2 linked regions of the Sus scrofa genome follow. The protein of the gene in region 1 interacts with the protein of each later gene in a biochemical or structural test. Links are inferred from orthologs where the notes say so. Each region holds a gene or a part of one and is shown on either strand. Other genes may lie near its edges. The genes, in order: WBP11 and PQBP1.

Region 1 (4,515 bases):
GGATCAGGCGTTGCCTTGAGCTGTGGTGTAGGTCACAGACGAGGCTTGGATCTGGAGTTGCTGTGGCATAGGCTAGCAGCTACAGCTCCAATTCAACCCCTAGCCTGGGAACCTCTGCATGCCACAGGTGCGGCCCTAAAAAACCAAAAACCAAAAAACTATGTTACAATAATCTGTCTGTAACTGTATACTTCAGTTTGCAAGTATAGTATTTTGGCTTACAAAAAACAATGTAACTGTATACCTCAGTTTGCAAGTATAGTACTTTGGCTTAGTAAATCTTATGGTTTGTTATGAGAAGCATAATGTATCTTTTCTCAAAAACAACTGGAAATGTTTTCTAAATCCACTCATTGCAAATAATAAGATGTGCCAAACTACACTTATATCTAATAGGATGCTTCTGAAGTCATACCTTCTTTAATTCTCTCTTCCGAGCTTCTTTTCCTTAAGAGAGGGAGACAGAAAGAAAATAAAACTTTCAAGTCTTGAACATTAGCATTTTCTCCAATTTAATACAGATAATTCTTTAACGTGGGAGGTTGACCCTGGGCACTGTAGGATTTAGCAGCACTCCTTGATTTTACCCATTAGAGGCCAACAGCACCCTTCCAATTACATCAACCCAAGATGAATCAAGACATTGTTAAGTCCCTCAAAAAATAGCTATGATTCTGAAGAAAAAAGATGCCAAAAAATACTAAACAAAAACTTAAAAACAATTTGTTTAAAATCCCAAATACAAAAAGAAAGCTTTAAGCCAATTCTACTTTGAAAGTCAATCAAATTAGAAATACAGGTGCTACTTTTTTTGGTATGCTTAAAGTTTTAATCATGTGCCCAAGAGAACAATAGGTAATTTTATAACTGATACTTCCTAACACTGCTGATCTCTAAGGCTTAAAATAGACTTCCTAAACCTTGTGATTTTTACCACTTCTCCTCCTTATCATTTCACATTAATGGATACTTACTGGCTTGGTCTGTGGGGTTCATAAATTTTCCACTCTTGGTGGATGATGTTGATCTCCGTCCCATGTTGACAATTTGTACGGTTTACTTGTTTAAAAAAAAAAAAAGCCCAAAACCTAAAAACCTGTAAAGACAAAAAAAAAGAAACAAACAAAAAACCACACTGATTTTTCCTATATTTACAAAATTTCTTTTTATACTGATAAAATTTTCTTCCTACTAAACTCTGAAAAGAAACATTTCTTTGATTGAGACCTTATTCTTTCCCTAGTCTTGACTTTAGTGCCCAGGAAAGATAGTCTCAACTTCCCCAACAGATTCCTATTATTATTTACAAAGGTAATGAGCCTGAAGATCACTATGAATATCAGTTAGTCGTCAGTTAACTTTCTTCTATGGATCACAATACTGACTCATCAATAGAAAAAAAAAAATCAATCAGAAAACGCTTCAACAATATGACATGAACCATGTGCATGAGAAGCTATTAGTTCTTTTCCTATATCCTTCCTGTATTTATAGGCAGGGTGAAAAGGAATAAGAAGGGATGGTGTGTGTGTAAAACTGGGCTCAACGACAAATAGCTCACCCTTGCCTCTTTCATTGGTTTCCTGGCATGTTTTCCCAACACCTCTAAGACAGTAAAAACTCATTAATTTAAGCCTATTTAATGCAGATTTAGAATTCAGATATAATTCTTGACTCTCAAGCAGAAGCTTAAAACATAACTAAAAACACAAATATTCAAAATGAAAGTATATGAGAGCTTCTAAACACATAAACATCAAGATACATATTTTTCTTACTAATATCAACTTGACTTCTGATTTGTATTTTTTTAAGGTCACTGGAAGCGTTAATTGTGTTTGAGGGAAAATACTTTGTAAGTCAAAATTTTAATTAATTTAAGACACTATTACACTATTTCTTCCTGTTATTCCAAATGAATGAGGTTTAACTTTTTGATGCTTGCTCTTGAAAATAATAAAAGGTGGAAAAGAAATCATGAGGTACACTTTTTTAGCAGACCATGTAAGTCCCCCTTCCCTTCATGAAGGTTTTTTTCAGGCAAGTTTATTAGTTAATACCTCTTTCGGCAAGTGTTCAACTGCCTGGATTTCTGCTAAAAAGCTTCAAAACTGTTCCAGTAACAACTAATTCACCCTGTCAAGGGCTTCCTTCTCACAAAAACTGGGAGTGAGGGGCGAAAGGAAGCGGAAACAAGCAAAATTGGTGCAAATACAAGCTCTCGCATCTTTGATGGCTTTATCTTTTCTGCTTTCCTCTCTCAATTACCCTCAGGCTTAGGTGTTGACACTCCTCTCCCCAGCCTGAAGCCTAAAACAGGTACGAAGTACAGAGAATTTTTACAGAAGATGCTGGAGCCTGACTATGCACAAACTACTTTCCTGTCTAAAAGCAGAGGCGATAGAGACATCGGGTCACGGGCTGTTCAGCGGAACTCTCAACCTCCAAAGAGGCTTCAAAGGAACGGAGCCCAGGTCCAACAAGGGGCCAACAGTATTAGCAACTGCCGAAACCATAGCGACGGTTGACCCTGATTCCAGGTATAGACATCACATCAAACCTAAGGCAACCCGGTCAACGTCAGGAGGCTCCGCTGACCAACCCGGGAGAAGTCAGGCGCTTGACCGCCGGACGCTGCTCCGTTCCAGGCTCGGGGATCCCCTAGTTCCCGGTCTGGTAGACGCTAACCGCGAAAAGGAAAAGCGGGGGCACAGGGGCCTGGCGTTCCCGGGGCAACCGCGCGGGCCCCAGGAAGGGACCCGAAGGATGAAGAACCACAGGGGAACGATCCCGCACACTCACACCTCTGCTGGGCTCCTGGGGCTGTGAGAAGCGGGGAGGGGACGATTCTTGGCCTGTTTGACTTCGCAGAGGCCTTCACCTCTGCCTCTCGGTCAGCCACCCAGCCACCGCCATCTTGAAACCTCGCGCCCCTCCGCCATCCTTACGTCACTTCCTCTCCATACGGGCCGACAATCTCATCGTTTCGGCGCCCTGAAACCATAGAGAGTAACCGACAACTCCAGGACCAGAGTCTCTTCCGCTGGAGTACAGTACCGAATTGGTTGGTCGGGGCTGAGAGCCCGCCCTCATTACTCAGTGCAGTGCATGTTGATTGACACTCCTATAGCCCAGTTAAGAATAAGAAAATTAAGCGGGTGGGATATATGATTGGCTGATGCGACGACAGTCCTACCCTCAGGCATTCTGACCTAATTTCCGGGATCCGCATTTATTTCACCGCCTGAGGCGGGCGGAATCCGGATGGGGAAGTTTAGCGCCGTTTGTGTTACCGGGGATTGTGTTTCTGTAGTTTCTTTGATCATGACCAGCGCTTGCCGTCTTTTGAGAGTTTCTGTTTAAAAAAGAATCCCGGGCGTTCCTGTCGTGGCTCAGTGGTTAACGAATCCGAGTAGGAACCATGAGGTTGCGGGTTCGATCCCTGGCTTTGCTCAGTGGGTTAAGAATCCGGTGTTGCCGTGAGCGTGGTGTAGGTCACAGACGCGGCGCCGATCCCGCCTTGCTGTGGTTCTGGCGTAGGCTGGGCCGCTATAGCTCCGATCTCCCATTCGGAGCCTGGGAACCTCCATATGCCGCGGGAGCGGCCCAAGAAATGGCAAAAAAGACAAAAATAAATAAATAAAATGAAATAAAAAAGAATCCCCCAAGAACACTTCTTGCTGTGCTTGATGCACTTGCCTAACGTGGTGTGCGCCTGGAAATTCAGTAGTTTTTACACAGACCATTTGTAGACCTGAGCAAATCGGTGCCCATATCAGAGTCCCAGATTGCTGCAGGACTATTTTTCTTTGAAGAGGGAACGTGGGGTACATGTACAGTCAGTTTTAAGTTTACGAGTTGTGAGATTGATTTATGTCAGCTCTTTTCTGCTCTTTTCATTCACCAAAAATCCTTTATGATGTCACTGTGCTAACGGACTTAGTTCCTTAGGTCTAATCTCAGTCCTTTTCCTTCGCTTTTATGGGCTCTTTATCTGAGAGTCCTCCCATATCTTTTCCTTTTAAAGGTAAGTTTAAATATTTAAGAAAATATAAGGACACCTTGGTTATTTCTCCCCTTAATCTTTCCCTTATAGGGAAATGTTAACACAGGCCAAGTCTTATTATCGGTTATAAATATGCCAAAATCTTGACGGAGGTATATAATTAACTTTTAGAGAGTATTTAAATAGGCATTTAACCTGTAAAGTCGGTCCCTTATCTAAAGGAACTCTTGCTTTAGAAAACACTTGATTTGGTTTTAGTCTGAATTTTGAGTCCCAGAAGAACAGTTAGTTACAAGATACATGTTTATAAATCAGGTAAAAAACATGAGATAAAACTTAATTTTGAAGGTGAACTAAATTGTGATATTTTGCAACTAATTTAAAAAAGCAGTGACAGAAGAGAAAGAACACGAAGAGTACACTTGAAAAACTATTTCATCTGGCTTTAATTTTTGAGGTATGTTGAACTTTTAAAATTACACAAGACATTTCTTGTACTTCAATGCAAG
Region 2 (4,286 bases), on another chromosome or scaffold:
AAAAATAAATCTGCCTAACTTTGTTCGGTTTCTGGGTTCAGGTAAGATTATGACATACTGTTACTCAGACTTATCTGGTTTCAGAGTTTAGATAGGGATGCATTTAAAAATATATCCAGGGGTTCCTATCATGGCACAGCAGAAACGAAATCTGGCTAGGACCCTGAGGTTGCAGGTTCGATCCCAGGCCTCGCGCAGTGGGTGAAGGATCCAGTGTTGCCGTGAGCTGTGGTGTAGGTCACAGACATGCCTCGGATCTGGCGTTGCTGTGGCTGTGGCGTAGGCCGGCAGCTGTAGCTCTGATTCGACCCCTAGCCTGGGAACCTCCACACGCCGCGGGTACGGCCCTAAAAAGCAAAAAAAACAAAAAAGTGTATCCGGAGTTCCTGTTGTGGCGCAAGGAAATGAATCCAACTAGGAACCATGAGGTTGCAGGTTCGATCCCTGGCCTCGCTCAGTGGTTAAGGAGCTGGCATTGCCCTGAGCTGTGTGTGGTGTAGGTCCCAGATGCCACTTGGATCTGGCGTTGCTGTGGCTGTGGTGTAGGCTGGCAGCTGTAGCTCTGATTAGACCCCTAGCCTGGGAACCCCCATATGCTTCAGGTGTGGCCCTAAAAAAAATAAAAATTAAATAAAAAACGTGTATCCATGTTTGTTTAGTTCCTGTGTTCAGACAGTATGTGACACCCTGCTATCCAAATCTTTTTTTTTTTTTTTTTTTTTTTTGGTCTTTTTGCTATTTCTTGGGCCGCTCCCGCGGCATATGGAGGTTCCCAGGCTAGGGGTCCAATCAGAGCCATAGCTAGCCACCGGCCTACGCCAGAGCCACAGCAACGCGGGATCCGAGCCGCGTCTGCAACCTACACCACAGCTCACGGCAACGCCGGATCGTTAACCCACTGAGCAAGGGCAGGGACGGAACCCGCAACCTCATGGTTCCTAGTCGGATTCGTTAACCACTGCGCCATGACGGGAACTCCCCAAATCTATTTTTATGTATCGTTTTGTCTTTTTAAGGCCACACCTGTGGCATGTGGAGGTTCCCAGGCTAGGGGTCAAATTGGAGCTGTAGTTGCCACTCCAGGCCACAGCCACAGCGACACAGGATCCAAGCCCCACCTGAGACCTACACTGAAGCTCATGGCAATGCCAGATCCTTAACCCACTGAGTGAGGCCAGGGGTTGAACCCGCGTCCTCATAGATACTAACTAGGTTTGTTAACTACTGAGCCATGACGGAAACTCCCCGCTATCCAAACCTATTTGGACAAAATTAGTTTGAACAGCAAAGGTTTTATCTAAAAACGTCCAAATTCATTCAGTTCTCCAGCTTGGCAAATAGGGAGTTTCTGATTCTAGTATATTGAGTAGCAAGTTTGGAGAGCAAGGCATTTATCCAAACACTGCTCTGAATATATTCAGCTCCTGAGACCTGCAACTGTTTTCAGTTACTATCAACAGAATAAAAAAGGTGTATGAGTGGGGGTTCCCATTGTGGCTCAGCAATAACGAACCCGACTAGCATCCACGAGGACGAAGGTTTGATCCCTGGCCCTGCTCAGTGGGTTAAGAATCTGGCACTGCTGTGAGCTGTGGTGTAAGTCACAGATGCAGCTCGGATCTGGCATTGCTGTGGCTGTGGCATAGGCCAGCGGCTACAGATCTGATTCGACCCCTAGCCCGGGAACTTTCATATGCCGTGGGTGTGGCCATAAAAAGACCAAACATTTTAAAAAAGGTACATGAGTACCTGGACCTCAGTTGGCCGATCACAGGTTTCAACTGTGTATACAGCTAACAATGAAATGTCTATTTCAGCAATAACATAGTGCCTGTCACACAATAGGTCCAAAATAGATCATCAGCTATAATCATTAGTGTTGTTAGTAAGAAACGTACCACGGGCACAAGGCCCGGTATTCAGTAAGCTTAAAATAAATATCAATGACCATTATCCGTATTATTAACCAAAGATCTATGCTTGGCACACAACAAACCTGTAATAGATGTCACCTGTCAATAAAGTGAAAATGAGTTTTCCAGTACACGGCCACACCTTAGCCCAAAATAGATGCCAACTTTTACTGTAATGACAGTAAGGTATAAATACTGGCAACGGCAGCACAGCAGGCCAAAATGACAGATCCTATCATTATCCTTGTTTTGTTTTTTGTTTTTTTGCCTTTTCTTGGGCCGCTCCCGCGGCATATGGAAGTTCCCAGGCTAAGGGTCCAATCGGAGCTGAGCTGCCAGCCTACGCCAGAGCCACAGCAACGCCAGATCCGAGCCGCGTCTGCGACCTACACCACAGCTCACGGCAACGCTGGATCCTTAATCCACTGAGCAAGGCCAGGGATCGAACCCGCAACCTCATGGTTCCTAGTCGGACTCGTTAACCACTGCGCCACGACAGGAACTCCCCTACCATTATTTTACATACTGTAAACCATAATGCATATGCCAGCCACTTAAGCAGACCCGAAATACATGTCAGTTATTGAACTGGTGAACAAGTCGGTATATATCGCCTGAACAGTACCTGGCTCTACAGTAGATCTGAAAAAAATGTTACCTACTAGTATGGTAAAGAACAAAATATCAGCCTCCTCCCACTGTATTTGGTCCAAAAGAGGCTGTAATAGATGTCAGTTTACTATTAATATCCTTAGATACTCTTCCAGGGATCGATTGGATTAAATCTGGCGTATGAAGATCCAAGATAAGCATCAGCTGTCAGTATTAGGTACGACTAAAGCTGAAATGTCTATTCCCTGCCCCACCCCCACCGTAGGCGTCCGCGCGCACGCGGTAGGAATCGGCGTCAGGAATACGTATTGTTTACAACAAAATGTCTGCCAGCCCACTGCTTGGTATATAGTAGGCCCATACTAGGGATCGAGTGGCAATATCAACAACAAAGTGCCTGTCAAGCCTGGCACATGGTAGGCCCATCTGCTCTTAGCTCTCTCACCGGGCTCGAGATGTTTGAGGATGCCTCTCTTGGCCAAGCGGGTCTGCAACGCAACGGGCAGCGGCATAGCGGGTAGCAGACAGACCTAGGGAAGGACAGACGAGAAAGCAGTTCAGATAAGGATTTGAATCTGGAGCTCGTAAGCAAGCGCCTCTCCCCAACATGCACTCATCTAGACTCCCACCTACCCACCTGCACCAGGAGCTGGGCAACAGAACCTACCCGCTAAAAGGTGGAAGGGATAAACGGCAGTATCACCGAAATTCTCGCCAACTCTCCTCTCCAGGCGGGGTGCTCCGGGACAGGACTCCTCTCCCAGGCCTCCTCTCCCAGGCCTAGGCTCCACCCATCGCCGAAGGGGCCAAGCGCCGCTCCCCCGCGCCCCAGAAATGGGCTCACCCAACGTCCCCCAAAGACTGCCGGGTGGAAGGAACCAAGGAGCAGGGGTGGGGGGAGCAGGGTTTCCTCTAGCTCCAAAAAATGCGCCCACCCCGACATTACCAATACAGTCACGCGGGTTGCGGAAGGCTGTCAGACTGTCGGCCTCTCTCTCGACGCCTTTATGATCGCCAGGACCACGACTCTTTTTCTCCTGAGGGAAAGAATGAGGCCCTCTCTCCCTGAGCCAGAGGTAACTGGGCGACGCTCGGGCTGCAGAGAACAGATGACGGAAACCTAACTGGCCAATGAGAGTGCGCCTTGGCCTGACGTCTGGCGAAAGGACCCAATCATTACCTTGGAATAGGTGGAAAGCTCGGGCGCCTGTGTGCGTTTACAGTGGGGGTGTGGCCCGGCCGGGATTTAGCCAGACTGCGCGGCCGGACGCCGGCGCCATGGAGGAGTACGCTCGGGAGCCTTGGTACGGCGAGGGGCACAGGCCTCGGGACTCTTGCTGCGGCGCCACGGCCAGCGGTGGGAGGCGGGCGGGGGAGGCGCTGGCTACACAGCGCCACGTCCCAGACTCGGGAGACTTTTAAACGTTTGTTGTCTCCTTCCGCTCCCGTCCACTTGTTTCCTTACTTGGGCTCCGTTAAGAGGGGCCACAACTGTGTGCTTGAAGGAGCTGGTGCGGTGCAGGACGAACCACTCCACGTTTCCCTTGACTCTTGTCCCCGGTCCCTCTTGTTAACGGAAAGAGACACGTTGGTCGAATCCATTCCAGCCGGGGGGTGGTGTGTTGCTAGGCGGAAATCCCCAGGGTTACCGCGCGTGGTTTTTCCCAGGTCCCTTTGGTGAATGGAGGCGGGGCTTGGGTGAGCCCACTGTGGGCAAGGAGGGGGTGTCGGATCGTCCCCACGGTCTGCAGCTAGGTTTTT

What was found.
Region 2: the proteins of WBP11 (region 1) and PQBP1 form a complex in vitro, tested with the Homo sapiens proteins (2 studies listed by BioGRID and IntAct, with this or other methods). The link is inferred for Sus scrofa from reciprocal best matches to the Homo sapiens genes WBP11 and PQBP1.

Annotation. Positions count from the first base shown.
Region 1 is NC_010447.5:57,748,439-57,752,953, reverse strand, and holds the start of WBP11 (WW domain-binding protein 11), read right to left. Parts: upstream 3,007-4,515; 5' UTR 2,803-3,006; intron 1,097-2,802; 5' UTR 1,039-1,096; coding exon 975-1,038; intron 448-974; coding exon 416-447; intron 1-415. UniProt on the Homo sapiens protein: Activates pre-mRNA splicing. May inhibit PP1 phosphatase activity.
Region 2 is NC_010461.5:42,975,416-42,979,701, reverse strand, and holds the start of PQBP1 (polyglutamine-binding protein 1), read right to left. Parts: upstream 3,057-4,286; 5' UTR 3,038-3,056; coding exon 2,971-3,037; intron 1-2,970. Other genes in the region: TIMM17B (mitochondrial import inner membrane translocase subunit Tim17-B), read left to right, coding at 3,657-3,829. UniProt on the Homo sapiens protein: Intrinsically disordered protein that acts as a scaffold, and which is involved in different processes, such as pre-mRNA splicing, transcription regulation, innate immunity and neuron development.